Linked DNA regions of Lytechinus pictus. Each later gene encodes a partner of the first gene's protein in a complex. Links are inferred from orthologs where the notes say so. Each region holds a gene or a part of one and is shown in the gene's direction. Other genes may lie near its edges. The genes, in order: histone deacetylase 3-like and G protein pathway suppressor 2-like.

Evidence for each region.
Region 2: histone deacetylase 3-like (region 1) and G protein pathway suppressor 2-like share a complex: the UniProt entries of both Homo sapiens proteins name them as parts of the N-Cor repressor complex. The link is inferred for Lytechinus pictus from reciprocal best matches to the Homo sapiens genes HDAC3 and GPS2.

The regions. Positions count from the first base shown.
Region 1 is NC_087255.1:32,548,927-32,565,473, reverse strand, and holds the start of histone deacetylase 3-like, read left to right. Parts: upstream 1-4,275; 5' UTR 4,276-4,353; coding exon 4,354-4,411; intron 4,412-6,044; coding exon 6,045-6,127; intron 6,128-6,388; coding exon 6,389-6,613; intron 6,614-7,211; coding exon 7,212-7,324; intron 7,325-7,785; coding exon 7,786-7,919; intron 7,920-8,470; coding exon 8,471-8,625; intron 8,626-10,039; coding exon 10,040-10,194; intron 10,195-11,485; coding exon 11,486-11,544; intron 11,545-13,020; coding exon 13,021-13,100; intron 13,101-15,719; coding exon 15,720-15,880; intron 15,881-16,547. Other genes in the region: uncharacterized protein LOC129271199, read right to left, coding at 3,858-4,100. UniProt on the Homo sapiens protein: Histone deacetylase that catalyzes the deacetylation of lysine residues on the N-terminal part of the core histones (H2A, H2B, H3 and H4), and some other non-histone substrates.
Region 2 is NC_087258.1:9,337,997-9,354,205, reverse strand, and holds the start of G protein pathway suppressor 2-like, read left to right. Parts: upstream 1-8,465; 5' UTR 8,466-8,549; intron 8,550-13,435; 5' UTR 13,436-13,487; coding exon 13,488-13,581; intron 13,582-14,623; coding exon 14,624-14,730; intron 14,731-15,545; coding exon 15,546-15,667; intron 15,668-16,209. Other genes in the region: large ribosomal subunit protein eL22, read right to left, coding at 2,494-2,502. UniProt on the Homo sapiens protein: Key regulator of inflammation, lipid metabolism and mitochondrion homeostasis that acts by inhibiting the activity of the ubiquitin-conjugating enzyme UBE2N/Ubc13, thereby inhibiting 'Lys-63'-linked ubiquitination.

The DNA.
Region 1 (16,547 bases):
TAAAGAAGGAATAAAGAAGGAACAAAAATAAAGAAAGAAGGAAATGAAAAAAAAAAGAAATGAAGGAAAGAAATGAAGCAATACAGAAAGAAAGAACAAATCTAGTAAGTAGTAAAGGAAAGAAAGAAGAAGCAATAAAAAAGAAAGGAAAAAAGGAGAGATGGAAAGGACAAAAGAAAGAATGAGAGGAAGGAAGGATTGAAAGGAATTAAGGAAGGAATAAAGGAAAGGTAAAATGATAGATAGAAGTAAATAAATAAAGGAAGGGAAGGAAAGAAAGAAGCAAGCAATATAAAAAAAGAAAAGGTAAAAGAATAGATGAAGGAAGAAAAAAAGAAAGACTGAGAGACAAAGAAAGGAAGGAATGAAAGAATAAAGGAGAGAAAGGAAGCAAGCAGTAAAAAAAGGTAGGTGAAAGGATAGATTTAACAAAGGGAAAAAGGAAAGAACAAGACAGATAGAAGAAGAATGAATGTAAGAAAGAGAGAAAGGGCTGGAAGAAGGAAGAAATAAAAAACAAGAAAGGGTAAATAAATGATGGATGGAAGGAAGAAAGAAACAAAGAGAGTAACAAAGAATGAAGGAGAGAAAAGGGTAAAAATAAGGAAGGAAAGAAAGGAATGAGAGAAGAGATGAATATAGGATGGATGGACTCAAGAATTAAAGAAAAAAAAATATCAAAAAGAAAGAAAGGAAGGAAGAAAGGAAGAAAGAAAGAACGAAAGAGAGAAAGGAAGGGAGGGAGGGAGGGAGGGAGGGAGGGAGGGAGGGAGGGAGGGAGGGAGGGAGGGAGGGAGGGAGGGAGGGAGGGAGGGAGGGAGGGAGGGAGGGAGGGAGGGAGGGAGGGAGGGAGGGAGGGAGGGAGGGAGGGAGGGAGGGAGGGAGGGAGGGAGGGAGGGAGGGAGGGAGGGAGGGAGGGAGGGAGGGAGGGAGGGAGGGAGGGAGGGAGGGAGGGAGGGAGGGAGGGAGGGAGGGAGGGAGGGAGGGAGGGAGGGAGGGAGGGAGGGAGGGAGGGAGGGAGGGAGGGAGGGAGGGAGGGAGGGAGGGAGGGAGGGAGGGAGGGAGGGAGGGAGGGAGGGAGGGAGGGAGGAAGGAAGGAAGGAAGGAAGGAAGGAAGGAAGGAAGAAAGAAAGAAAGAAAGAAAGAAAGAAAGAAAGAAAGAAAGAAAGAAAGAAAGAAAGAAAGAAAGAAAGAAAGAAAGAAAGAAAAAGAAAGAAAGAAAGAAAGAGAAAAAAGAAATAGAGAAAAATATTTTTTTAAAGGAAAGAAAGAATGAAAGAACAAATTAAAGAAAAAAGGAAATTAAAAAAAGAAAGACAGTAACAAAAAAATGAAAGAAGAGAGGGAAGAAACAAAGAAAGATTGAAAAGAAAGAAGGAAAGAAAGATAGGAAGAAAACAGAGGAAGAGAGCTAAAACTATCATCAAATAATTTATCAGTTTCTTTTTGGCTCAATTAAAATAGCTACGAAAGAAAGTCAGAAACCAAGTGTATCAACACACACATAAATGCATATGTGGGGCTATTATGTATTCAGACGCTATCACCCGAAACCCGATCTGTTTGAACCAAAACAGAAGTGAAAATTTCTCCTTTTACTGCTTACAAATGACAGAGTTACTCCAATTTTTAGGAAATATGGACATTATAAGAGCCTTTCATGAGTATGAACCGTGAATTTTGACAGTTCTTGTGAGATATTTCTGCCAGAGTTTAGCCAAGCTTCGTTCGCGCAGCCAGTAGAGAATTTACCACGTGGGTTGTGTAGCTGGCTACATGTACACTGTATGCTTCTCTAGTGTGTGTATTCTGTGTGTGAATGACAGAATTTACCGGGGGGAAATGGTTTGCAGTGAAATTTGACAATTTCTGGAAAAGTTATTGGCCCAACAATGGATTTTATTACTGGTCATGTCGGACCCTTAAATCTTGCTATTTTTGGAAAAATTACTGGCCCGACAATGATATTTTTTACTGGTCATGTCGGACCAGTAAATCTTCCTATTTCTGAAAATCTACTGGTCCGACAGCGATTTTTACCGGTCTGGGACCGTCGGACCGCCGCTAGTGTCGAGCCCTGAGTACACCTTACAAAAGGGATGGAGAGAAGACTTGACTAGGCACAACATCAGCTGTTCAAAAAAATCCTTGGTCTCCTTAGAACAGCAGCAGATGAAGTCATCTTTCTTCTCACTGGGCTCCTCCCTCTTAGTTCTCAAGTTGACCTTGAGAAGCTCCTCTTGATTGGACAAGCATTGTCATTTTTTAAAGCATTTTTAATTTTTTTTTTATTTCTCCTCGTACACAGACTGCTCACAAAGGTGCAGCCGCCATTAGGGGGTTTGCAATATAACCCCCCCCCCCCAGCGGGGATCTATTATTTTTTAGCAAATAAAAAACATTTAAACAAAAAGTACTGCACCTATAGCAAGATTATTATTCCGGTTTGGCCTGAAATGCACCAAAACGGAAAAAATAAACTTATAAGGGAAAAAACCAGTGACTTACTTCGGCTGTTGTCGCGCAACTCCCACTTAAATCCGAACTTAATACATAAACATATGGGCATTGAGTCCCTGTATAGATCAAGTTATAACTTTGAAGTTTCTAGCTTTGTGATGGTTATATTTAAAAACACAGAGCCACAAAAAATGACAAAGCAACCATCCTCCCATAATTTCTGAAGTACACCTTAGATTTAACATTATACCATATTCTATTCCTCCTATTAGATTAGAATTCTAAAGTAAATGAGAGGAAAAGAAAGAAAAGAAAAGAACAATCTTCTTCTTCTGCCTTTTCTTCTTCCAAGTTCCAGTCTGATACAGTCCGCCACTGGCGTATTATTGAACCTTGGAATGGATTGAGTTGGAAACTAACTTTAGTACCGTACTAGTAGTCTCTAACTTTGTTGTATGGTGGTGTGACCTTAATTCATGCATTACCTAATTTTGTGCACGGTAGAATCCCAATATCGAATCAAAATCTTGAAAAACTGATATCACCAACACTAAACAGATGCAAAATTACTTGGTATGGTACCGTAATTTTCTTGAAGGTAAGGTCTCAATTTGTGAAAATATTGGCAAAACATCTGCAAATTTTGTTACCATTTGCTTCCGCTCCGAGAAAATCCAAACTTCTCGACAAGCTTCCAGAAATCGCCAGTTTGCAAGCAGAGGTATCCAAACAAGTATAAAAAGTAAAATGATATACTTATAGTTATACCAACCGAATTTATAGCATTTTAACCTCCATCTAATACTATTACCTTTGTCTGCTTGATTTATTTTCGAAAGCTTTGCAAAACGATCGTGCGCAAATTAAGGTCACACTTTTTATGACACTTTGTTAGCCGAGCGCACACTACTAGTCGATCGTCATGGAATTTGAGATTGCGATACCGGCGAAACCCTGGCCTTGGCTTGGCCTACTTTATAATTCTGTCAAGCTAATTTGACTTTGGGATCTTGCCTTCCGTTTGGTATGTATGATTTTGATTAATTTTTATGTGAACTGTGTGTGAGAAAATTTGATTGAAAATCAACTTCATGATAATTTTTAAAATGTCCGCAAATTATGGTCGGTCACCCCATCATAATTTAACTTTATTTCTTAAACAATATAGGGCCTAGTCTGATTTCATTGAGATAGAACAAATGTTAAGTCTAACTCTAACTAAGTGAGACCACATGGCTTGCCTCCCATTAGAATAAAAGTACCCTGTTCAATTGTTGCGCAATTGCGCCTCTGCTCAAGTGCACGTGCATGATCAATATGTACCATCACGTAACATCAGATCTGCACCCCCGACGTTCCGGCAGCAAACTCCTGTCGCTCCCGCTGTGAACACTTACCCCGGGCACGACGTCAATGCTTTTGTACTTGACACTCTCGAGGAGACGTCGGAATTCAACTATAACTGGAACACACGTTATTTCTTGACTTGTTTTGCTATTTTCGATGCATTTTTCCGTTGACAATAGATCACTTGTTGTACCCTCAGCTGACTTAGTAATTGCTGGTCTGTTTTTACGTCGTTTAAATGTGAAGCTTGCAGTGCTTAGTCGCACCGAAATTGATCCCAAGGGCGCTGCCATCTTTATTTTCTAAACAGGCTCTACATGTAATATTCATTTATTATTTAAAAGTCTGGTTTGTAAAACCTAAAAAAAGGTGATATAATTGTAAAATTTTACTTAATCTTATTTGTATATTTACATGCAGATGGTAAGTCAGCAAATTAATTTTCAAAGTTTCATTAATTTTCCCAATGAATTCATACCAAGAACACAATTTAGTTGGAATGATTGAACTTCAATTGAGACTCCTATCGACTTATATTGTTCCACGATGTCGAGTAAAACAATAGCTTATTTCTACGATGCAGATGTCGGGAATTTTCACTATGGTTAGTCAAAGGTGGATGGATATGTATGATCTGTATCAGGAGCTTTCATGCAGTTAAAAAGAAGTTTTATTTATCATAACATTGTTTGGAGCTGGAGGCGGCCGCGGCGAAGTCATCCCCCATCTCGCGCACTCCATTCAATCACGAAACAAAGAACTGGCAGTGGCAACAGGCAATGAATGATTTTTGGGGGAGTGAACGTGTTGGAATGGATGGAAGGCCAGCCCAGGTCATGGCCGGGGGGTCACGGCAGCTGTTGCCAACATTTTTATTAAAAAGTCATAAATTGAGTCAAATGATAGAGCAAATGAGCCTGCGCTATATTCAATATTGGTCTGGGTGTGGGGGGGGGGGGTGGGTCAGGGTGGAGGCAAGTTGCGAACAAATTAGACAGCTGGCAGCCGTCTGTTTCGAGGAGTTTTTTAACATTTTTTTTTTTTTTTAATTTCTCCTCATACACAGACGGCTCGCTAGCGTGCAGCCACCATTAGGGGACTTGCAATGCAAAATCCCCCCGTCGGGGCTCTTCAATTTTTGTCTTTAATGAGTAAAAATTTTGAAAATTCACGCGACCAAAATGCAAATTGATATTCCCTCTTGGCATCAATTGCCAAAAAACGGAAAAAAATCAAGTTAAAAGGAACAAAAATAGTGACTTACCTCGGCTGTCGCGCAAATTCACTTCCCCGTTTTATCCGATCTTAAGTACATAAACATATGGCCATTGAGTCCCCTGTACAGATCGCGCTAGAACTTCAGTCTCTGTATTTGGTGAGTGAAGCCAACGGAGTTCAGCTGAACAACCAACATAACAGAGACCGAAGCTTTTGGTCTACGAACAAATAAGTCTTAAGCCTAAGCTCAGTCACTTACACACATGTGAGGTTAGTATGCTGTACTAACCTTGCACAATGTATGAGTTTTGACGATGGACATGTAATTTGTCCTCGTCTGTCACACGAATTTGGGTTGATAAACATGCCAAAATTTTCCCCAAAACAACACAAGTTTTAAAAGCAATAAGAACTAATATTCTTACTTTTCACCCAGTTTCACTTCTTTTCTACGCTTCTATCGGTCTCAAAATTGGTGATTTACATATTAATTCACTGCCGATTCCAAAGCATCGCAAACGCAAATTGCGCGGAAATCGAAGCTCAATTAATGAATATTCAACATGATAACATCGAGATCGTTTCGCATATGCATCAGATCAGGACGGGTTATGTGAGAATACTTCTTAGTTCGGGCTATCAATCTTGCAGCAGAGTTCTGTATTACTTCAGCCATGTTACAAAGCAAACTATTACAAAAATGCAAGTGACATGTCACGAGAGCCTGAACAAGTTTCTTTGTTGTTTTAGAGTCCAAACACAAACATATCTTTCCAAGTTTACTTTCCAGAGACAAATATGTCCAATGCCATATGCTGATCAAACAGAACACCCATATTTCTGGCCAAGACACTAGGAACAATAGAAACATCTTAATCAGGGGAAGTTGTAATCTTCTATGAAATCGAGATGCTATTTGTAAAACCTCTGTTTTCTCGTCATTTAGTTTGAGACCAGTTAGAATTGACCATTGCTTTATCTCTTTTACTTACTTTATCTCTTTTACTTTTACTTCTCAGGTCCTGGTCATCCCATGAAACCTCACAGATTAGCACTCACACACAATCTAGTACTCAACTATGGGCTCTACAAGAAAATGCAGGTAAGATCTCCCAACCAACTCATTTTAATGCCCTTGAAAATGCAAAATGATCTCTTATCAGTTGTAACTTAACCTTGTCATAGGGAGGATTTTAATGTTGTTGAGTTTTAATAGAATCAGAAATCTGTTTGACTTAGTCAAAATGTGTTAATAATGTTTTGATCTTGTCTGAAGAATTGATTCAGTGTAGGTGACGATTCAACTTACAGAAGGTTGACTATCACAGACTTAACTGCATTTTTTTGTTTGTTTCTGTTCTAGATTTACAGGCCATACAGGGCCACAGCTCACGACATGTGCAGATTCCATTCAGATGACTACATCGACTTTCTACAAAGAGTGACACCTCAGAACATCCAGAACTTCACCAAGAGTTTAAGTCATTTCAACGTCGGTGACGACTGTCCAGTGTTTCCAGGTCTCTTTGACTTCTGTTCAATGTACACTGGGGCATCGTTAGAAGCAGCAACCAAACTGAACAACAATGTGAGAATTTAAACATATTTTAGTATATAAATGAATACATGTTAGTATAGGAAAGTGATTTTTTTTTTTTGGGGGGGGGGATGGTTTTGCCTTTTGGTGTCCCATAAGAGAACAATATGTAATGTATATACAGTTTATGAAGCTTGTCAGCTAAGATAACTGTTTATTCTATGACAGTCCTGATTGTAACAGTTAGAGACCAATGCTTTCCAGCCAATCAAAATCAAGGATTTCACGGAAACTGTAGGCCTATAGAGATAGGATGTTGACAACTCTCTGACTTCTCCACCAGTGTACTTCTCATTTTTATTGAGACTATTATGTCAGACTGTACTATATATTTATCTCATAATTTTCAGGAATGATACCAATATTAAAAATGTTGTGATTTTGAGCAACATGTTTTGAAATAGATTTTGGAAGAATCATGCTGGGGCCAATTTGTGAAATCTCTATGTTATCTTTTCATCCCTCTTCATGTACAATATCTTTTTTTATATCACTGATTTAATTTTTATGTTTTTATAGTGGGAATAAATCTGAATTGTATTGAATGGAATTGAACTGTAAATTGTTAGAAAATTTGTTTCCATTGCAGCTATGTGACATTGCAGTAAACTGGGCTGGTGGGCTTCATCATGCAAAGAAGTTTGAGGCTTCCGGGTTCTGCTATGTCAATGATATTGTCATTGCTATTCTAGAAATTCTCAAGTAAGCCATGTTTCTATTTGATTTACGATCTTGAAAATAATCTTGTTCATAGGTTTTGTATCTTTGCTTAACATTTTTGAAGTATTGTTATCTTAGTAATATTGTCAGATTCAGAATTTCCTATATAATTAAAGTTATACATTTAGCTTAAGACATAGCAGTGCTAGCATGCCCTTTTCCCCAATCTGCTGTATAACAGGTTGTACAGTGTATCTTATTATTTTCTCAGCTTTATATGGTGAATCATGAAGAAAATTGCCTTTTTGTTAATACCGTTTTATATTTGCTGATATGATAAAGATGAACAAACAATGTAATTTCATTTAAGCTAGATGAACTACATCATAATTCTTTCAAATTAAATCTTTTCTGTCATTTTTCAATTCCTTTTTCACATAACTTAATCATCATTGTGCACATTATTTCATGAGATTCCCCATTCTTGTTCCCTTCTCTGCTAGATACCATCCTAGAGTGCTGTACATTGATATAGACATCCATCATGGAGATGGTGTTCAGGAAGCATTCTACCTCACAGACAGGGTCATGACAGTATCATTCCATAAATATGGCAATCACTTCTTTCCAGGCACAGGTAATGGGCCTGTTTCATAAAGAGTTACAACTTTGGTAACTTTGCCATTATGGCAACTACAGTGGTAACAGGGCTCAGTAGCCAATCACAATCAAGGCTTTTATGTGAGTTACAATAATAGTACAGTCACCATAGTTGTAAGTATTTGTGAAACAGGGCTAATGTGTAGGTAAAAGGCGTGTAATAATGAGTATACTTATTATTGTAAATCGATAATCAATAAATGGGGTATATTCATTTTTTATTTCATTCAATTCCCAACTCTGAATTTTCTTTCCCATCAATTGATATGTATGATGTAGATTCCATCAAGTGGTGTTAGACCAAGTGGATATTGAACAAAATGGGTAGAGCCTAACTGGAAATAAGACAAAATGCTAAATGGGAATAATGATAATTAGACCAAATGGTTAGTAGACAAACTGGTTGTAGTAAAAAAAACTGGTTGTAGGTTAAGTAGGATTAGACCATCTGGGGTGAGACCAAACGCAAAGTAGCGCAGCGGTTTTGTAGACCAATCAGCAGTTTACTGTTTATTTCTTTTCTTCCAGGTGACATGTATGAGGTAGGCTTAGAGAACGGGCGTTACTACTCCATCAACGTGCCTCTCAAGGATGGCATAGACGATCTCATGTACTCCGGTCTCTTTAAACCAGTTATACAGAGTGTCATGGAGTTCTATAGACCTACGTGTATAGTCTTGCAGGCAAGTCTCTCAAATTCACTTTCAAAGTGTAGATCTTTTTATTCTTATGCATAAAAAACCCTCAATAAATACACATCAAGCTATGCTGCCAACTGTGAAAAAAAAATCATTATTTGTTATGAAACTGTGACAGGAATGAAAATAGAAATAATAAAAGGAAAAAAGAGGGGTGAAAGAATTACTTGCGAAGGAATATGCATGATATTGTATCCAAACATTTACACATTAAAAGATAAATACCAGTTGTGGTAATGATCTCAAAATGAGTTCGAAGAGAATCCAATAAAATGATCACCCAAGTCTATGTATGTATAGATAAAAATATGTGATAAATGGCTCTGGAAAAAAAGTGCAATTGTTGAGAAATGAGCAAAATATTCCCAGAATTCCATAAAATGTTGGGTATTTTTCCAAGCAATATTAATACACTGTCCCACCTACTCCCTTTTGTGTTAGTTATCATTAGAATTATCGGTTTTCAGCTAAGATTTCATGATTTCACAAAGATAAGTTGATTTCAATGTAACAGATCTAGATCTATGATAATATGGTGGTAATTTATCTTGATTTTAAAGGCTTTCTCATGAAATAATTGTTTGCTGCAAGTACTTTATTTTACCTTTAAACAATGTAGAATCTAGTATACATGAATTTAGTAATAGAAGTGACTAGATTGTAGAGGAAAGTACTTGTGCATTTTTGTTGCATGAGGATGGTTAGGGTAAGGGTTAGAAATCAAAGAAATTGTATAAAAAAATTAAAACAAAAAATGTCTGCAAAAAAATGCAAATTCTGATGAAGAAATACCAATTTTGGAGGTACAGAATGAATATTGGCTATTTTGAAGGATGGCAGCTCTTTATATGTGTATTCATTTACATTCCATCTGACAAAGAAGTTAAGAATCTAAAGGCCACTGCACATCTTATGACCCGACTGGTCTACGACTGGCCTGTGACTGAGTGAGGGGAGATGTGACGTCACAGCTCTTGTCAGCTTGAGAGTCGCAGACCAGTCAGAGACAAGTCGCAAGGAAAATTGTAAGGATTTGACATGTCGAATCCTTATGACTGAATCGCAAGCTCAATCCAACTTCCAGCCAATTAGACAGCAGAGTTGCACGACGCGTATATGATATACATCGCGCATATGCTGTAGTAATTAAGCGCCATTTTCTCAGTTGCTATGGCAAAAAGCAAAAAGCGCATGCGTGAGTCACAGACAGCATGGTATTTGGATCGCAAGGTGTGCGGTGTTGAGGCCTATGACTACCTTGCGATTCATCTCTACTAACTCATTCGCAAGCCAGTCGTAGACCAGTTGGGTCGTAAGGTGTGCGGTGGCCTTAAAGCACCAACTGACTCCCACTTGTTAATCTCATTTCTAAGATGAATCTTTGTTTTAATCTCGACAGTGTGGAGCAGACTCTTTAGGCTGTGACAGATTAGGGTGCTTCAGTCTCAGTATCAAAGGCCATGGGGAATGTGTAGAGTACGTCAAACAATTTAATGTACCCCTACTAGTGATGGGTGGGGGCGGTTACACAGTCAGGAATGTAGCAAGGTGTTGGTGAGTATTGATGTCTATCTTTTGAGTAAGCAGGTTCCTAATTATTATTATTTATTTATTTATTCATGCATGTCCACAATGTATAATGTAAAAGAATACACAGATAATATATAAGTATATATAAAACACAAGTAAATAATGAACATACAAGGGTGTTGCAACATAAGCTAAAAGCTTGATTGGTTGAAGCACCTTTAAACTGGTTTTGCATCCTAGAAAACAAAATAAAAATGTAAGAATAAGGAAGAGAGGAAAGAAAGAGAAGAATATAAAAGTGATAGACTGCCAAGATATAACAATTAAGTTTCAAGTTGTTATGAATATATGTAATAGTGATTCAACAATGTTAACTTCTCAATCTTCAGTTATGGAGAAAAGAAAGAAAGAAAACAAAATTACTTACATGTATACGTTACTAGCACTTTACAGATCCTGTAATTTTGGAAGGAGATTGTGCTTTACAGCCAATTTAAAAGAATGTGAGGTTTTCAAATTTCGAATATTATGTGGAAGAGAATTCCAAACATCTGATCCACGGTGTCTGATTGATTTATGAGCTAATGCGGTGCGGGGATTAACCAAATGTATGTTCGATGACTGTCTTGTGCTATATGAATGGACAGTGCTGTTCCTAAGGTTCCTGATATGTCTTCATAGTTTTTTATATTTTTTGTTTTCAAAGATTTTGATGTCGTTCAGTATTATTATCTATGATATATACTACTTTATTGTACTGCGTGTAAGGGAACTAATTCAACAGGGCCACATTGCCTTATTTTTTTAAGTTTCCATTTTTTTTTCATTTTCAACTGATAAATTGGTATGTTTGAACCATCTATGTCTTAATTGAAAGGCATTGTAGGGAAATTCTGTGGTTTTTTAGATGTATTTTATTTATATCAATATGTATATGATTGCATGTATTTTATGGATATTGTAATGACCTGTTTTTTATGTGAATATGAAAATGAACGATCAAACAAACAATTATATTTCAAAGCATTGTGATTTATTGTATATATTGAAGTTTTCACTGTGGGGTTTTCTGTATTGTCAAGAAGTGAGAAAGCAAATAAAGAAAGAAAAAAAATGTATCCAGTAAATCCAGTCAACCCTGTATCTTATAGTCCAGTTACTCTTTTATATATATTTTGAATATCAGTCCCACAAGTAATATATTTCTTTTGTAGAAGTGTATTTTGAAGAAAGGAAATAGAAAATTTGACATTTTTTCACCTTTTATTTATATAATAGGTTAAGTGTTAATTTTGTTAAATTGTGATTTTTACAGGACATATGAAACATCGTTATTACTCAATGATGATATCAGCAATGAGCTTCCTTACAATGGTAAGTAAAGTGATTGCATTATCGGCAATTACATTAAATAATCAACTTTTATCTTTTAGTCTCCCCCACCCCACACACACACTTGTCCCTTTTATCAATTTTTGAATTTTACTTCATAAACTGTTCAAGCCATAATTTTAGAGCTTTACAATATTTTGTACGAACTAGGAAACACGCAGATCATTTCAGAAAGGCCGTACACGCAGGTAATGATAGTTAAACATATTTATTTCCTGGAATTGACCTTATGATTCTAAGAAAAACAAACTGCTACATGTAGCTGAAAATTGTGAAAATAATATTGCTACATAGAACTGGCAAGTACATGTATATTCAAATGTTACATAATTATGATATTGTATTCAGGGTATAAATGCATAAATTTGATGTTTATTGTATAAGGCCTTATGATATTTTCAAAGCTTTGATACAGAATATCATTTGTGATTATCTAAATGATGGCCTTAAAGATAAATGAAAGTAGTTGCAGTAAACACTGATTTCACGAGAAAGTCTGTAAAACCAGGCTTAATCGTCACTCTATCATCGAGGATCTAGATCTGGTACAGTTACATAAACTCAACTTTGTGAAATCTTGAAATCTGCGCTGAAAAATGTTCACACCGAAGATCACCAACACAGATAAGCGCACGTGGGACAGTGTATTATTTTTGCTTTGAATGTCGGCCCGACGCTTGACCCGAATCCCGTGCTTATTTGCTAATTTCTCAGCAATTACACAATTTCTTCCAAAATCCTTTGGCACATATTATTTATTTATACAAACAGACACTTTGGTGGTCATTTCATTGGATTCTGTACGAACTCATTTTGAAATCGTTACCACAACTGGCATTTATCTTTAACAGAAGTGGTTGAAACCATAATGGGTGTTGGGGAGCGGAAGGTTAATCCCCCATCTAGGTTTTGAGTGCGCATTACCCATGTCCATGCCTATGATAAATTGATTAGATTCATTGTTGATGCAAGCTGTTAGATAATAAAGAAGGGGAAATAAAACTAGGAGGGTGGGGATTAATCCTCCTTTATGCATTGGGCCTACATCTATATGTCTTGTTTTCTTTTTTCTTTTAAGTTACTCCAAAATTAATTCTGTGCGGGATCAATCTTAAAAGAAAATAGGAGGGAAATTAAATCAGGAAATGGTATAACAAACCACTGTGGGAAATTGAGGTCTATATATGTGTATGTCTTTTATTTTGTTTGAAATTATTCATCATTATTTCTATTATTTATGATAATTAACTTTAGGGATAACATTTATGTTATTGTGCATGAAGTATAGAGTAGAAGTATGGCTACACTATATGGCTAATTTGGAAAAGTGCCAAACGCTGATACTTGGAAGGGGAATAATTGATATTGAAGAACTTCTGAAGTCTGAATGAATTGATAAATGAATGACTAAATATCCAATCTTGATCCTTAATGATCGATTAATTTCATTTTCTTTAGATTACTTTGAGTACTTTGCTCCAGATTTCACATTGCATCCAGACACCACAACTAGAATAGAAAATCTCAACACCAAAGCAGTAAGTCTTGTGTTACTTTTCACAGAATTGTTGCTGATTTTTCTTTTGTAGTTCCTCTTCTCTTCTGTCAATTCGCACTATACATGTATTGTTGAGGTCGCAATCAAACAGTACACAACATTTGCTGCAGTTGGAGAACAATACAAACGAAGCAAATGATTGTAAATAATGACTAAGAAGTGAAACTCGTTAGCTTTTGAATATATACAAATCTTCACTTCCTATAGTTCTTCGGGATATCATGCAATTTTATTTGTATTGAGTGCTGACTTTGGTTCAGTATAAAAACTCATTGGATGTGTGAATTCGGACAGAATTGAATTAAAGAAATGCAGTCCAGTTTGTTTTCCTTATCATTCCTCATTTTGTTAATTGTGTGATTTCAGTGGCATTTTTTTTAATGATGCAGTGTGTCAGTGTAGATTAAGTTATGAAAGATGAGAGTGCTTATTTTGGTATTGAATCGCCAGCTGATAAAGCAATTTGTACAACGCCTACTTAGCTTGTTGTACGCAAGCAAATGGGAGATTGAATGTCAAACATTCGTACTGTTGCACACACGACGTACCATTCAAAATGTACCGTTGCACGGCTTTAGGAGGTGACGTCACAATATGATTTTATTCATTGCGCTCAGTAAAAATGAAGGTGCAATACGCATATAGCCTGCTGGCTAAATGCGCAATGCTGCCCAAGGTCATGTGGGCTTTTGCTTTTCGCTTTCAATATTTTTGCTCCCTTTTCATAGATTACTGCAGGGAAAAACTCTCATTTTTTTCTTCATATTTTCACAAGATTCCGAGGCGTTGTACAACACAAATAGCGAAGATTCATATTCGTGCAATGGTGCGAGATTTCGCATTCGATGAAAAAAAGAAACACTCTATTCAACTCGGCTAACGCCTCGTTGAATAGAGCATCTTTCTTTCACCTCATGCGAAATCTCGCACTCATGCCTATTCGCTATTTGTATATTATTGTCCCTTATGAATAATCATCAATATTCACTTTTCAAATTTGCTTCCATCTTATACAAGCAAATGGACAATGTACATTCAAAGTCGTTAGGTTAGAAAATTTTGACTCTATTGACTATGTTGTTGGTCGAATTGAGGATGCCAGGGTTTCACAGCCTGCTGACATTTTGAGCTGGGTCTGATATTGGGAAAATGTCAAGACCCCTGTTTGTTAAAATATGAGAGATGATGTGTAATTTTATCCATTGAAGCGTTGACACAATATTTCACATCTGTATCGTGATTGCCAGGTCATATAAGGGTCATTCCATGCCAATTCACCCAATGAATGTGCAATTTTGCACCCGACCCTCTTGGAATTCGTTGTAAATTGGTACACATAAAATTCACCATGGCCCACGCACAAAACAAAAAAAATAAGTCCAATTGGTCCGTCGGTTCTCGCGCTTCGGCCCGCCCTTTTCTCCTTGTTTTGACAAAAATGGGCGTGACCTTCAACTTTCAATGGCCACTGCGTCGTAACGTGTTGACCAATTTTCATGAAACTGGTACCATTTATTAGGAAATTCAGAGAGGAATCCAAAACATGCATCAAATAATGTATTGGAGCGATTTATGAGGTCGTTAACTTTGACCTTGAGTTTGACCCCCGGACAAATAATTTTTTAACTTGATTTTCGTGTATGGTAATTATTAGTATGATATTGACAAAATTTGTTAAAATCAATGATGATATTTTATTTCTTCACCTTTTAAAACTCTTCCAAAGATACCATGAAATTTCACTCTAGTCCTACATACTGATATTCATGTTAGTAAAGTGTTTACCAGTTACATGATTTCTTCCAATCTTAAGTTTCAGTATGCGTGCACATGAAAAGAAATTAAGCTCATCAGTTCACAAATGAAACATTAAACATTTATGCTCATAAATAGGTATCTGTTTAGGCATTTTGATGTTCAGCAATATATATTATATATATATATATATTCTTGTTAGTAAATAGGCATATACTCAACAATTTGATGATAAAAGTAAACACTTTACTAACAAGAATATATATATATATATATGATATATATTTCTGAACATCAAAATGCCTAAACAGATACCTATTCATGAGCATAAATGTTTAATGTTTCATTTGTGAACTGATGAGCTTAATTTTTTTTCATGTGTTTGCATACTGTAACTTAAGATTGGAAGTAATCATGTAACTGGTAAACACTTTTACTAACATGAATATTAAACTCAAGGTCAAACTCAAGGTCAAAGTAAAGGTCAAAGGTCACAACCTTATAAATCGCTCCAATACATTATTTGATGCATGTTTTGGATTCCTCTCTGAATTTCCTAATAAATGGTACCAGTTTCATGAAAATTGGTCAACACATCACGACGCAGTGGCCATTGAAAGTTGAAGGTCACGCCCATTTTTGTCAAAACAAGGAGAAAAGGGCGGGCCGTAGCGCGAGAACCGACGGACCAATTGGACTTATTTTTTTTGTTTTTTACGTGGGCCATGGTAAATTTTATGTGTACCAAATTACAACGAATTCTGAGACGGTCGGGTGCAACCACTGGGTGAATCCAGATGGAATGACCCATAACAAGAATTTCTCTGACGTTGTTTTCCCACAGTACATTGACCAGGTGAGGCAACAAGTGCAGGACAATCTTAAGTGTATAGCTCACGCACCTAGTGTACAGATGCAGGATGTTCCTCCAGATCTTCTCAGTCTAGAGAATATTGAAGAACAAGACCCTGATGTTAGGAACAGTACCAAGGAACAAGATGAGAGGTATGACCTATTGATAAGCAGGGACCTGGGAAGCGGGGGTGCTGGGGGTGCTGCGTGTATTATTTTCCACAGGCAGCACCCCCACGAAAACATGTTCCCTTTGTATTTTTTTTATATATGTTATGTAATGTACATAATTATCACATCTGACAATCGCAAATCATTTATAGTCTTTCACATATTCCAATAATATAACGCGACTCGATCAAGCTCCGGCACTCCGATACAGGCGTGGTCGCGCGCGATACGTGATAACCATAGTTTACACACTACTCGATAGCAGGGAGGTACATGGGTGTGGTTGGACTTGAAACTTCCAGGTTTTATGTCGAATCAAGACAGTGTGCGCGCGCCCGAATTACAAGTCAGACAATAGAAATCAAATTTCACGGTCTTTTTCGCCCTGCCCCATGGCCCTGGGAAGCGGGAGTTGCTGCATGTGTTATTTTCCATAGGCAGCACCTCCTGGAAATCTAGTGGTAAGTTGATAAATGACAGAAATGTAATGAAAATGAACGATGTTTTGTAGACCCCCCCCCCCCCACTTCAGAATTTTCTGATGCAGTACTTAAAATAGTGTTTAAATCCACCCTTTTTCATTATTGATTTTTATAATTAAAAAATGTATTTACAATGCCCAGATAGGTCTAACTCTAAACACGCGCAC
Region 2 (16,209 bases), on another chromosome or scaffold:
TCCAATTATTGGCTGCAAAAAAGATGAAATTAGGTCAATTTTCGGCATTTCTCTGCCATAGACTGTGTAGTTAAGAAATGGACACACACAAATCCAAATTTTTAGCTTCCGAGAGCTGTTATAAATTTATTATTAATGCCCAAAACTTGTCCATAAAGAGTCCAATAGGATTTTTTATGCTCTATCTGATGGTATGATTTTTATAAAGATTTGGAAACCAGATCACAATGAAAAATTGCAACAAAGTGAAAAAAATTGTGCAAAACAGAAATTTCATTTTCCCATAGAAAACGCATGGAGAAATGGCAATCTCAACACACACAAAAATAAGGGTTTGCAATTTATCTCTAAATCCTTATTTAAAATGATCATATAAACTTGTCCTTACTGTCAAAAGAAGCCCCTGAATTTTCTCTTTCCATACATGCCAAACACAAGTTAATAATCAATTCAGATCATATTTTTCTAGTAGCCTGAACTTCCCCGAAAAAATGTGCCATATTTTCCCCTAAATCAGCCTGTTTTATGCCGACACTTTTTAGTGTGGCTTCAGACACCCTAGTATTGGTCTCCCTGCATTCACCCTTAACTTGGGTCTAACATTAATGTTAGTCTAGGGCCTAGCTAAGTAAGGGGTCTAATGTTAGTTTTCAAGACAATAAAATTAAAATTGAATGTCAGTCCAACATTCAGAATTCTGGCTTTGTGCTATTTTAAGAAACAAAAAATTCAGCAATAAATGTGGTTTCCTTTTCAATCTTTTCCATATAGGGCCTACTGTCAGGCCCAGGGGCTTGCTCAAAAGACAAAATATGGCAAGTTCCCCCAAGTCTGCCCAGTCCCCCTTATCTGAGCACACGCGCGATTCTAGTAAAAGATACGCAGCCAACGAACACAGACTTTACACATGCAATACGTTAACAGATATCCATTTAAAAATCTTACTCAAAATGGTGGGAAGTTAAATAATGAATTTAGCCTTGGCTTTAGGGCATTGCATGTGACCTCAAATTGCTGCCCTTCTCGTCAAAATCCCTGAATCGTGTGCAAAGTTAATGGGTGCGCAGACACATTTCAATCTGAAAATGACTGCCCAAGGTTTTTTCCAAAAAATTCCTATATTTCTTTCAAATTTTTATGAGGTATTTGCATATATTTGGTTAGACCAAAAGCTTCAGTCTCTGTATTTTGGTTGTTCCGCTGAACTACGTTGGCTCCACTCACCATACATAGACTGAAGGGGATGGGGCCCCGTACCTACAGCCAACGTATAGTGAACTAGCGTTTTATAGATCGCGATTTAAAACTGTTTTTTAAGCAAAATTGAAAGTTTCATGGTTTCCATTATCAGGGAAATATAAATAACTTAAGTAATTGCATACCTTGGGCCGGAGTTATTGAAAAAAATCCTCTGGATGATTGAGAAATCTGTCATCTAAGACATTTTCACCTGACCTGACGGTTTTTCTTGCAAGTTGCCATCTTGAATGACGTCATTATCGTTATTAACTTAATGTCCCGAATCGATATATCGCGATTATAACTAGTACTAGTACTAGTATAACTAGTATCGTTTATCTTCGGTTTCGTTCGCATATGGAGCAGATCGTATAATATCGAAAGCAATATCGATATCACATTCGTGATTGTTGACGTTCGTTTGTAAATATTTTATAATTTGGCTGCCATTTTGACCATTTTTATCGTGTTCAACCCAATTAAACATCGGTAAAGTATATTTTTCATGCCTTTTTCATCTATATCGTTTAAAGTATTTAAACATAGAAATATCAAGTTTTAAAAGTTTGTTGTTTAGGCCTATACATCCTTAGATTGTAAATTCGATGTGTAAAATTACATCAAACTTTGGACTGTGAATTGACAAAAGGGAGGGAATGAGAACACATGCGAGCCTACACGTACACCCTACCGTCGGTAAATGGGGATTACAGTAAAATGTCAGAAATTGTTGAATAAATCCCCAGAAACGGTTATTCCTGTCTAATATTTGGTACACTTAATATAAGGAACATAACTGAAAGATTCTATTAAATAGAAAAAAATTCATCTTAAATCTTAACTAAAATTGTTAGGTGTGCAGACTTTGGGACCAACATCATAGTCATACAACACAAGCTCCAATCATTTCACGACATGATGATCATGTCATCCGATCAACTGGCACATGCATACACTACACTCAGGCCCGCCACAGGCACACACAGCTAGCGCGCACTTTCCACTCACGGTACACGTCTCCCACGCATTAATACATGCCGCAACACATTACACGCACGAATCATTCTGCGGCTCATTTATCAGGAGTCACCTGGTTATATTCATCATTATATTACTCTTGTTCAACAGTAGATAACAAATATGAGGGAATCATTCTTCTTATATACTCTTAACAAAATAAATTTCATTACTTTTTAATCATAATTTTCATCATTAAAGCCCAATTTAAGCGTTTTTGACGCCCTTACTACTTACACCAGGCATGGTTTGTAGCAATGCAATTAAAAGAGGCCGATTTGGCAATAAAGATTTTGATTTAAGGTTATCATTTTGTTAGAGTAAGAATACAACAGCTAAATAATTTGTGTAATATATGTAATAATATTTTTATGTAATAAAAATAATTTGAATAAATTCAAAAATACTTTTAAAATGTAAGATTCAAAATAATAAAAAATAAAATAAATTGAATGAAAGTAAAGAATTGAAGGTAGCTCCCTCCTTGCTCGTCCGGAACCGTTTATTGCGTGGCCAATCTACTAATCTTTAGTTTTGTTTGCAGATCCTCCTCCTAAATATTCTTTTGTGTATAGAGAGAATTCCCCGAAAATTCTCAGTACAGCTAACTTTTGTTAGATCGATCAGAGTACTTTATACACTGAGCTCGTGTCCATTATCCAAACCATCACCATCAGGGACATATCAATCTGGGAGAGATCAGTGGATCTCCCCCAGTGAAAATATTCAGGGCAACAAAGTTTAAAGGGCTGGTCCAGGCTGGAAATATTTATATTTCAATAAATAGAGTAAAATTCACAGAGCAAAACGCTGAAATGATTTGATCAAAATCGGATAACAAAGTTATTGAATTTTGCATTATTCCTGTGAATCGTGTTCTACTGTTCTAGGCATGCCCTTATGCTGAATATTCATTAGGTGGGCTGATGATGTCATATTCCCCACTTGTTCTTTATTTGTATTTTACTATATAAAATTAGGTTTATTCAAAAATTTTCTACCAAGAACTAAGACAACTGATTAAGTGCATTAGTTATTTATTGCCGCAACTCTTATTTCATTATAATGGAGAAACATCATTTACACATGACAAAATGAAACATTTATGATTTGCTATCATTGGCGGCGGAAGCCAAAAAATTTATTGGGGGCCCACCTGAAATTTTGTGATGGACACAGGTAAAATAATTGACAAGCAAAAAAAAGTTATCAACCTAAATTTTAGGGGGGGGGGGTCACCAAAAAAAATTTGACAAGCAAAAAAAAAAAAAAACTAAACTAAAAATTTAGGGGGGCCACCCCCCGCCTCAAATTCTCAAATTTAGGGGGGACAGGTCCACCACCCCGTCCCCCCGCTTCCGCCGCCTATGCATGTTGTATCATAAGAAAAAGGAAAGTGGAGATGTGACATCAACAAATTTTCAAAAAATTGAAAAATTTATGATATGCAATTTATCTTTATAGTAAGTATTAAAAAGCCCTTTATGAAACCACTAAATTTTATACTATCAAACATACAAAATTGTCATTTTCAGCGCGTTTTGCGCATAAAATTCTGAACTATGAAAAAAATATTTAAAAAATGATTTTTTTTTCCACTTTTGCCCACAGGTCAATGGTTTTATTTCGAGATTCCTAGGATTGTTCTGGCATCAATAGGTAGTCTGCAGGCAGAGACCCTTATCACAAAAAAGACTAGCACATACATTGGGCCTAGGGCGTTGTAGGCTGCACATTCAGACCCTTTATGCTCGAGCGAAGGGTTTGCACAGCAGACTATAATAGGTATGCATTATATGCCTAACATAATTATTTTCACTCGTTTCGTCTGCTCACTTGTGAAATCCACATTTTGAAGCAGTTCCCTCTTTTTAACTCTGTGCTAAACTATGGGGAGCCAAAAAGTCAAGAATTCTGCTTATATTTCTAATATTTACGATTTTGTTTCCCTTAATGTTTCATAATTATGAAACTAAATATATTTCAGTTATCATTCTGAAACAGTTATACATGATTTTTTAGCGTCATAAGAGTTAATGAATAATTGAACATTCTAATAGAGATTTGTGCCGCAATTTGCTCTCCATTAAACTATTACTCAGTTAATGAAACCAGGGTTTATGATAAACCCGTGTTCAGATCAATATGGGCCACTGATTCCACGTATGATCACGTGACATTCTGTTCAATGTAATGATTAGCCCACTAGCTCACTGCAACCATCCTGCCTGTGAGGAATCTAAACCAGGGTTTATGATAAACCCGAGTTCAGAATCTGGGCCACTGATTCCACGTATGATCATTAATGAGGTCACGTGACATTCTCTTCAATGTCATGATTACCCCTCAATCGGGGTCGAAACAAGAAATGGGATGATCAGAAATAAAACAACATTTTATTCATATTGCTCCACTGGCCGTTCAGAAACGGAGATAATTACTTTGGAAGACAAACAAAATGCCAAAATCATTATATTCGACAGAAAGAGAGATCGAAAATTTATGTTTAAGATGTCTATGGATTAACAGTCGATCTCTTAATTGCACGCTGCGCTATCTTGTATTAGAATGTAATGCATTAAAATGTTTTGAAGGCAAACAATTCAACAAACAAGGTGCAAATTTTTGTTATAATTATAGGCTACTGAAATATTTTTACAGCAACCGCTATAACTTTGACCTATTGACTTGCCGGAATCATAAATATTCTTTAAAAAGAGAGGTATTCGGCAAAAATAGTTAAAGGACAAGTCCACCCAAACAAAAAGTTGATTTGAATAAAAAGAGAAAAATCCAACAAGTATAACACTGAAAATTTCATCAAAATCTGATGTAAAACAAGAAAGTTATGACATTTTAAAGTTTCTCTTAGTTTCACAAAATAGTTATATGCACATTCTGGTCAGTATGCAAATGAGGAGACCGATGGCGTCATTCACTCACTATCTCTTTTGTATTTTATTATATGAAAAATGAAATATTCTAATTTTCTCCTCATTGTCAGGTGAAACAACGATTACTTCCTCCCAAACATGTGGAATTAGCATTGTTTAATATATGCAGTGGCGTAGCTACGGGGGGGGGGGCCTGGGGGGTCCTGAGATTTGGTGTGCCCCCCTGAAAAAATTGCCGGAGCAAAGAAAAAAAAGGAGAAAGAAGAAAAGAAAAAGAAGGGGAAAGACAGAAGGAAAAATGAAGAGGAAAATAGAAGAGGAAGACGAATGAATAAAATAATGTGATGGGAAGACTTGCACAAAAATATTTCATGTTACAATATAAAAATTTCGCTCGCGCTTCGCGCTCGAATTACCTGTTCGATGAGATTCATTACTTGCGCAATATAGGCTGATATGGAGCTTAACATAACAAGTTTTGAAGTCAATATACAAAACATATTTTAGCTCGAGCTTTCATTTTTTTTTCATTTACAAATTTAAGTGCTCTGTAAAATGTCCGTTTTATGGTCTACATATCAATATTTTAAGCTCGCGCTGCGTGGTTGCATGATTTTTCAATTGTCTTCGTGTGTCCAATAAAGTTATAAAAATATCAATTTTCAGATGTGATTGTCAAGCGTTGGTCTACAAATTAGCGCGCTCGCATTTAGATTTGTGAGTATATACTCTATATCAATTCTATAACCGAACAAGCTCCCTTTTCATTATCTTTTATTTTAAAAATTCAGCTCGCGATTTGCGCTCGCATTAATTGTTATTAATTCCTTGTATTCATAATTACAAAATACTTAAAATTTCAATTTTTCAAGCCTTATAAACAACGAATTCCACGCTGTCATTAACGCATATTAGATTAACAAATAAGAAAATAACATTATCATGAATTCCTAATAACTAAATTGGGTCTTTTCAGAATGGAATATCGACAAGCTTAGGAATAATTTTCATATGATGACAAAATGTCCTTAGAATGTCCCGGTCCTTTGTTATAATAATAACAAAAAAACATCAGCTCGCGTTTCGCTCTTGCATCATTCATTAAGTGTGTTCCATATCCACTTCACAATTTTCCTACACAGTGCTTGAAATAGTGTTTAAATTGACCTTTTTCAGATCGGAATATTAAAATGTTTTCAGCTCGCGCTTGCATTATTGATCTTCATGAATCATGATTAAAAAATGTATTCAGAATGCCCAGATTCTAGGTCTAAATCTAAAACATGCACACGCATGTTTATTGAGATAGCCTGCATGTTCTTTATTTAAAATGTGCTTAAATTATCCAGTTCCAGAATATCAATAATTGTCTGCTTGCGCTTCACGCTCGCTTTATTGATGATACCCAATTAGCCATATCCTATTCATGATTTACACAATATGAATAGAGTGTCCCGCTTTTAGGTCTAAAATATCAATTTTCTTCCGCTCGCGCTTCGCGCTCGCATCAATTGTTAGTTACATACCTATCCCATTTATGATTACAAAAGTTCTTAGAATGACTATTTTTTAGGTCGGCATGTCAAGAATTTTTAGCTCGCGCCTCGCGCTCCCAATATTGGCATATGTACCGTCTTCGTGGGTAACGAACAGGTCCCTTTTCGATCATATGCTAAAACATTTGTTAAACATTCCTGCTCGCGCTTGGCATTCGCAGTAATTATCTTCACGCACTGTAGTTACATACATCTTGTTCACGATCACAAACATTGCCCAGAATGTTAAAATTTCCAGGACAAAATACATGAAAATAAACAAAAATTGCTCGCGCTTCGCGCTCGCACTTTTTATGTAGGGCAAATTAGATTATTTTATATTTATGTTGTTTTGTAAGAATAAAGCTAAGAAGTGACTGATCGGAGAAAAGAAAGGTGAAGATGATTTCGTGCCCCATATCCCCTATTGGCGAGAATCGGATCCGCCCTTGTGACACACACACACAGAAAAATGGTGCCCCCCTGAAAAAGCAAGGACCCCCAGTGCCCCCCAGGAAAAAATCCTAGCTACGCCACTGAATATATGGTTCGGTCAAGTTGGTCCTTATTGTCAAATTTGTAAAAAAATGAAATATTGTATAATTCAAACAACAAACAACAAAAGAAATAGTGAGTGAGGGACATCATCGACTGTTTCATGTCACTGAGTTGTGCATATCACTAGCTGTTTGATGATCATAAGTGAAATTTTAAAACGCCATAACTTTATTATTTTACATCCGATTTTGATGAAATTTTCAGCATTATGCTACATTGATTTCTGCGTTTCTGCTGTACCTTAAAGTCACTTTTATTTTCTTGAAAACCACTTAGACAGGATAGAAGAGCCTTTTCTCTATCAACTACATAGGGAAAAGTCCTGGCACATCAAAGCCTACCCTCCTTTTCCGTAGTGCCTATATTTATATGTAATTGGAAAATTCACCATTTTGAAGCCCCCATTGAAGCAAATTGGCGTTTCTGCTGTATCATAAAGTCACTTTTACTTTCTTGAAACCACTTGGACAGGATAGAAGAGCCTTTTCTCTATCAACTACATAGGGAAAAGTCCTGGCACATCAAAGCCTATTTACCCTCTTGCATGGGCTCTTGAAGTTATCCCACCCCTTTTTCCGTACTTTGCCTATTTACATATATTGGAAAATTCACCATTTTGAAGTCCCCATTGAAGTAAAAAGGCGTTTCTTATATTTTCTTGAAGCCACCTGGACAGGATAGAGGAGCTTTTCTTATCGCCGGTCATATCGCAAAATATTTTGATATCCATATCCCCCCCCCCCCTATATAACAGATACAGGTTCTTGGAATGCTTGGAAATAGATCGGGTTTTCGGTAATGCAAAGTAAATAACGCTCCTGGCTTCTTTACTGTTATCTTAACAGTCAGTTCATCTGTATCGTAAAAAATGCACATAAAAAGAAGAAATTCTGGATGAAAAAGTGGGAAAAGAAAAAGATTGGGACAAAACGCCGGCACGATGCCACGCTGACTATAACGATGTTGAAAGTTGAATGTAGAGGTGAGGGGAAAAGACATATAACTCCTCTTGTTCCTGATTAAGATAATAAAGCACAAGTTAGACTGAATCGTTTCTTTTGATTTGATTAATTTTTCAAAGTTAGATTTTCTCGAAAAAAATATTTTGGCACATTACTTACACTGGTCGTTACGATTTTGACATTCTTCGAATTGGCATTCCTGCGTCGTTAATTCCGGTAATTCCTGATCGAGATCCTGCATGCCAGCTTCATTCGTTGGTATTATATTTGTGTAGGCAGGCCGCCCACGTACTGCAACTGTGTGTACCGGTACTGTAGTTTTGATTTCCTGTAGGCCCTATGTAGTAAGTTGGCACTTTGTTTCTTTTCTTCTTCTTCTTGCTATTCTTAAACATCTTATTCTTAATGTTGTCGCTTTAGATTCCGTGAGCGATTTGATTACTTTACACCGGCGTGGTACCGGTACCGGCGTTACTTTAGTTTAGTAGTAATGACATGTATGATTCTATGAATAATTGATTGAATGATGCAAAATTGGGTCTGCTTCCAATCTAACCCAGTCCCAGGGAGCCCAGGAGCTTACCGTGTATTTGACCATAGTCACCGGACTAGGGTGATTTATGGTCTAAATATTTCTCCAAATGAATTGTAAAAACAGAAAGTATACAACTACCACGATTATATGGATGAAGGTCTAACGAGTGCAGTGGCAGTTTCCTGACATCTGGCATGTCTGGGCACAGACTGGAACCTCAAAAAAACGAAAAGTTCTCTCCTACCCCCGTCTCGATCGGCCATTTTTGTTAAAAATCGTAACAAAATGGCCGATCGAGACTGGGTAGAAGGAGAGAACTTTTCGTTTATGGGAGATTTTATATCAAAACTTGAAAATATTTTAAAATAGGCTCTTATGCTAGCCTAGACAGCTGGCAGCCGTCTGTTTCTTACTTAAGTTATGGATACTTATGGATGCTTCTGAACGCAGTCTAAGACTCTATATTCAGTTCCAAATTCTGTCTCCTCTTTAGGTTGGCCGGATCATGTCCTGGTGGGTCAGCGTCAAACTTGTACTTCACAGGTTCACATTTCCAATACTTATCCAGTTTCGAGGAGTTTTTTAACTTTTTTTTATTTTTTTAATTTCTCCTTGTACACAGACGGCTCGCTAGCGTGCAGCCACCATTAGGGGACTTGCAATGCAAAATCCCCCCGTCGGGGCTCTTCAATTTTTGTCTTTAATGAATAAAAATTTTGAAAATTAACGCGACCAAAATGCAAATTAATATTCCCTCTTGGCATTTGCCAAAAAACGGAGAAAAATCAAGTTAAAAGGAACAAAAACAGTGACTTACCTCGGCTGTCGCGCAAATTCACTTCCCCGTTTTATCCGATCTTAAGTACATAAACATATGGCCATTGAGTCCCCTGTACAGATCGCGCTAGAACTTCGGTCTCTGTATTTGGTGAGTGAAGCCAACGGAGTTCAGCTGAACAACCAACATAACAGAGACCGAAGCTTTTGGTCTAATGCTAGCCTAGGTATGGTAGTGGATCGTATTACCGAACACTTTTCATGAATTCAATCATATCAAACACATTATTTTCATGAAATTCACCAAACTTTCACCATAAATACACAATTACCTACAAAATATCAATATGTAAAAATTTTGCCGAAATCGTTTTTCCTTTTTACGATATTAGCTTCCAATCGGACCCCTCTTCGCATGTGAAATATTTGGGTCACTTGAAAAAGGTATCGTATTACCGAACGTGTGTTATCTATGGGAAAAGTTGAGAAAACAACAAAATCACTGATGAGCTATTTTGACCATATTTTATTATTTTAAGAATATTAAGACTTTGAAAATGGGTTTTTTACAATTTTTCATCATCTTTCTATTCAAGTTCTCTTTGGAAGGATGTTGCAAAATTTTGAGCGTAATATTATTTTCTGATGCGTATGATGCGCGCGTTCCGTAATACAAGGCCGGTCGGCAGGGTTGGCACGTTTTAAACGGTGTGTTTTAAAACATGTTTTAAAACGCGTTTTAAAACACCCGTTTTTTTTACAAAAAAAACGTGTTTTAAAACACCTCATAGACTTGTGTGTTATAAATATGCATGGATGTGATTTTACATGAATATATTTTTTATACTTTTTTTCTTAAGTGGTATATTATTTTCTTCTAACTAAATCTCTTTCTCACCACCACTCTTTTTCTCCTCTCTCTTTCCCCCCTTATTCTCCCCTTTTCCATTGCTTTGTCATGTTCCTTTTCTCCTGTTCAATTATGTAGATCAATCTATATATTCTCATTTTAACAAGCATTTGAGTGTTGTGCTCACTTTTAGACAGGGAAAGAAACACTATTTAAACTAAGCTCAAATATGTAATAGTAGTACTTGAATGAAATGGAAGTGTTGCACAAGCACAATAATATTTTGCAAATAGACTGTATAACTGACATTGTAACCTTGAGGTACACACGAAAGTAGGTGAAACTTTGCGCTTTGTAAAGATGAAGAAAAGTAGTTTAATTCAGAATAAGATAATCAGCTAGCAAACCTTAAAGGACAAGTCCACCCCAAGAAAAAGGTATTATGCTGAAAATTTCATCAAAATCGGATGTAAAATAATAAAGTGATGACATTTTAAAGTTTCGCTTAATTTCGCAAAACAGTTATATGCGCATACTGGTTGGTATGCAAATGAGGGGACTGATGACATCACTCACTATTTATTTTGTACGTCGTTATTTTCTCATTGTCATGTGAAATATATTTTTTTTTCCTCCCTGAACATGAGTGGAACTACCATTGTTTTAACATTTTTTGGTTCAGTTAAGTTGGTCATTATTATCAAATCTGTATAAATTGAAATATTTTATTGTTCAAACAATTAAAAAAACAAAAGAAATAGTGAGTGAGGGACATCATCAACTCCCTCATTTGCACATCACTGAGTTGTTATAAATGTTTTGTGAAAAATAAGCGAAACTTTAAAATGTCATAACTTTCTTATTTTACATCCGATTTCGATGAAATTTTCAGCATTATGCTTGTTTGAATTTTCTCTACTGATTCAAATCAGCATTTTTCTGGGGTGGATTTGACCTTTAACCCTAACAATCCCAGGGGACTGTAATGGCCCCCTTAAAAATGTCTATGATAAATCCATAAGAACAGCAGGGCCACGCCATATTGTTCAAGACTATTTTTTGGATACATGCATGGATATGCGGTTATGATATTACCATGGAGCTATCAACACATTGATAGCTCCATGATATTACACAAGTAAAGCCAATGCAAATTTTTCGCCAACATTTTATCTGTATCAATATTTGTACTTTTTGTTAATGATTGGAAAATTATTGCCAATAATTTCCATTAAAAAACGATAAAAAAACCCAAAAGTAACCACAAAACTGTACATAAGAAATTTAAAAAAAAACAGTTAAAACAAACATTGAAAAAAACAATTTGATTAAAATTCCTCAATTAAAGAAATAAGCAGTTCAAGGGCCTAATATTTATAGATTTAAACCCAAACTTATATTTCATGCACTTGTGGGTACCCGGTAGGATGTGAAAGTCATTGTAGCTTGTCCAGTACTGTGTGCGCCTCACTAGCGACTGACTGAAATACTACCCAGGGAGTTGAGGATGTGCATACATTGTGTGCGGGAATGACTGATTGATTCCGATGACTGCGTTAATAATATATCTGTAAAGCGCTTAGACACGTCGTTCCAATGTATTAAGCGCTATATAAAAGCGGACTATTATTATCATTATTATTACTTAAAATTTGTATAATTGATACAAATGAAATAAAGCATATTGAGTAAATGAAATTAAGCTTTGAAAGCCTATAGTCTATAGATTATGTTGTTTTCTTACATAGTGCAACTTCTTCTTACCCCTATAGATTGATAAGACTAAAAAAAACCTGAGACTACATGTATGAGGAATAAACTTATAAAATGTCAACTTAATTTTTTGGCATTCAATTTCCTTGATTTAGTAATTTTGGGAAAAATATGAACTTTTCTGTTGAAAATTCAGTAACAAAAATTGTAGTCATCTCTTAATACTCCAAAAATGTAATTAAAACATCAAGAGCTTAAATCATATTGTATTAAGTGTATAATTTAATTGATTTACAGGAAAATTACATCGTTCGTTGGAAAAAAAACGTTTTAAAACGATTTAAAACGTTTTAAAACAATAAAAAACGTTTTATTTGTTTTTTTTTTATAAAAAACGTTTTTTATTACAACCCTGCCGGTCGGTAATACAATCACTCACTATATTTGTCACAAAGTTCACTTTCTTCTACAATCATTTATCATGACTTATCACAAAGCTGAATATATAAAATACCGGTATTTGAATTATCTTTCTCTCAGAATTGATAAAAACTTAAAGGGAAAGTTCAGCCTGACAAAAAGTTTATTGTAAAAATAGCAGAATAAATAATAAAACAATATTGGTGGAGGTTTAAATAAAATCGAAGATTTCCAAAGTTATTACTTATTAGAATATTATTTTTTTATTTGTGACATCATATGCGAGCAGCTTACTATGTATCGTGAATTACAAAAATCAATGAAATTTTATTTCCTCAGAAAATGAAAATGAGTTTTATTGTACCTTCATCATTATCAACAGACAAATTATTTCACATACACTTTTAAAAGAAGAAAATTTGTAGTCATCATGAACCATTGAAATTTATGCAGTTTATGAATATTGTAGCTGCTCGTATGACATCACAAATCAAAAGCTTCAAATTCAAATAACTTTCATAATATTTGACAGATTTTCCTGAAACTTTCACCAATATCTTGTTATTATATCTTCTTGAATTTTTGCAGCAAACTATTGGTCAGGGTGTTCTACCCTTCTGTTATGCTAGATTTTTCCACAATCACTCCCTTCTACAGTAATTTATAATATTGAAAAGGTGTTGTGGTTCAGTGGATAAGTCTCCACACATTGAACCACAATGTCTGGGGTTTGAATCTCACTGTAGCACTGGCGTCCAGTGGCAAGGCATTTTTAGATTGACACTCTCCACCCAGATGTAGTACATGGGTACCCAGTAGGAAGAAATTCCTTTAATGCTTGAGCGCCCCTGCCCCATGGTAATAGTATGCAGCACTTAGAAACATATTAAGCACTGCACTATATAAATGTTGCATTTAATTATTATTTGTCTCAGATTGTTGCCACCCTTGACCTTTGACCTGGCGAACAACCATAACAAAAGCACCATGCCTGCTCTGTTGGAGAGACCCAAACTCAGCAAGGCTATGGCTGCAGCCCTCCGGGTGCACGTCGTCAAAGAGAGAGACAGAAAACGCCAAGGTGAGTCCATAAACCCACAACCCACCCTTTTTTTTTCTGGGCATTATGCACCAAAGCTATAAAAATAGAGAACACACTTGATGAGTAATGTAAATTTCTGACATGTCTCTTTATTGGATGTAAATAACAAACATGTGGGCACGTCGTGGTCTAGTGGTTCTGACTCTCGCCTTTCAAACAGAGGGTTGTGGGTTCGAATCCTAGCCATGGTGTGTTTTCTTCAGCAAGAAATTTATCCACACTGCTGCAATCGACCCAGGTGAGGTGAATGGGTACCCAGCAGGATTAATTCCTTGCATGCACTGAGCTCCGGTGATGGTAGCTCGAGCTAAAGCCGAGGTAATATTTGCAAGCGCTTTGTATCCTCGGGCAAAAAGCTCATATATATCCAGCTATAATTATTATTGTTGTTGTTGTTATTATCATTATTAGTGTTATCATTATTATTATTATCATTACTATTATTATTCATTATTGTGATACAGGGCTTAAATTGATCCGTGACTGTCTAAAGCCATGACCTTGGATGCCCTATCGATTGATCTCTATGCCTATCTTATTGATCTTGGTCTTATTTGTGCTCTTTTGAAGTATTCCATTTGTATTGAGATGTAGAAAGGTGCCCTATAAAAGGGGCCCTGCCCTAAAGATATATAGACATTTAATGCCTGGGGGTTTTTCACAAAGATTTAAGTATGACATAGAGTCGCACTTAAATGCCTCGCTGTGTGTGGTATAAAAGGCATGACCGCATTGGTCAGATCATGCTAGGAAGCGAACTACTGCGTATTGATCAATAAGATTGCACATTGCATATCTTGTACGCCTCGGCATTTAAGTGCTACCTACGTGTAAGTCATACTTAAAATCTTTGTGAAACACCCCCCTGGAATGACACCAAGTACAAGAGTATTTTCCGAATGGATTATTTTCTCTTCAATGCATGACTGACAAATATCACATTTCTTTTGAATTTGATCAGTTGGTTAGGTATTTATGAGAAGTGATTTGAACTGAACAATGTTTTCTTTTTCAATTTCAGAGGAAGAAGAAGCAGACAAGGCGATAGAAAGAAAGAAACAAGAACAAGAGAGATTAAGGAAGAAACAAGAAGCTGAGACATTGTCATTGGAAGAGACAAAGGAACAGGTACATGATCATAGGATTACAATTTCATGAAATAAATGTTTGTTTTTTTCCAATGAGAGGGGATCGTAAATATTTGTAAAGGTCAGGAAAATTTGGAAAAGTCTGGTAATTTGTCAGCTTTTTGTGAAAACTCATGAAAAATCTTTTACTTGATATACATGTATTCCTCGGTATGGAAAAAAATGTTGTTAGCACTAACAATGCACTAACAGAGGACCTGTTACAACCGTCAATGTGGCACAGATGCCTCATGTTACAACAATGCATTACTTACACATTGAAATAATGTTTTGACTTCACAATCTAAAAGATGTGACTGGGCTTACTGTTTGCGCCCTGTTAGGCTAACAATGTTTTTGTGCGGCCGACACTGGTGAATTGTTGTGTATTTCTGTGTTTGTACCATACACTGTTAAAAGTGCACAGCAGGGAAAAAAAATTACACAGGGTTCTAGCTGATTTGCCCTAAAAGTGCTCAAAAAAATTATGGGAAATATATTTTAAAAAGAGCCTTGGAAAATACCCATTCACTTTTGCAGTAGGTTGTGAAAAGAAGCCCTAGAAAATTAAAAAATATATATAATTATTTATATATGTGTATATATATATATAATTATATATTTTTCTCCCTGTTGCACAGGGTAGCATATTTTCTCCAGGGCCAGATGTGCATGCATGATCCTTGATGGATCCACAATACCCTAGCAATAATAGATATTCTTCAGGGATATCTAACATCAGGTGACTGAAATTTGGTACTTATGTTATATGTAAGTAGTTACTGACCTGTTACATGGAATTTATTTCATTTTCAGGTGAAGAATTTGGAGGAGAAATTGAAAACTCTCCATCAAGAAAAGCATGAGCTCTTTGGACAACTCAAGAAAGTCTTGAATGAAGATGAAAACAGGAGAAGACAACAAGAAAGCAAGAAGAAGTTAGTTAAAAATCTCTCTGATTTTCTGGTGACTGACTGTTGGCTTGAAAGTTTTATTTTTTATTTTATTTTTTTTGCAGATAGGGTGGGCTGGGGAAGGCTTATAAATTGTAATGTTTTTTAACATTTTTTGGTTGTATAGTCCAGGGCTCCATCTTATAAAGAGTTACGATGGAAACAAATTAAACTCAAATCACAACTGATCTATTTTAGTTAAGAGATCAGATTTTTAGATCAATCACAAATTTAAGTTTGACTGTTGGAACTCTTTGTAATAGGTGGCAGTGTGGGTGTTTTATAGACGACGCACATTTGCTCCGGCAACGATAGCTCCAGACTTTATTTCATCTAATATATATGGCTTGGGTTAGGGTTAGCAATAAGGTTTTATGATAGGTTTAGGGTTATGTTTAGGATAGGGTATGGTGTTATTAATTCCAGGGTCGAAGTTGGTCATTCCATTAGCCTGTGGAATTTACATCGGAGCAATTGTCGCTGTTGGAGTAAAAATTTAATGGAACTGTTTCATAAAGCTGTTTGTA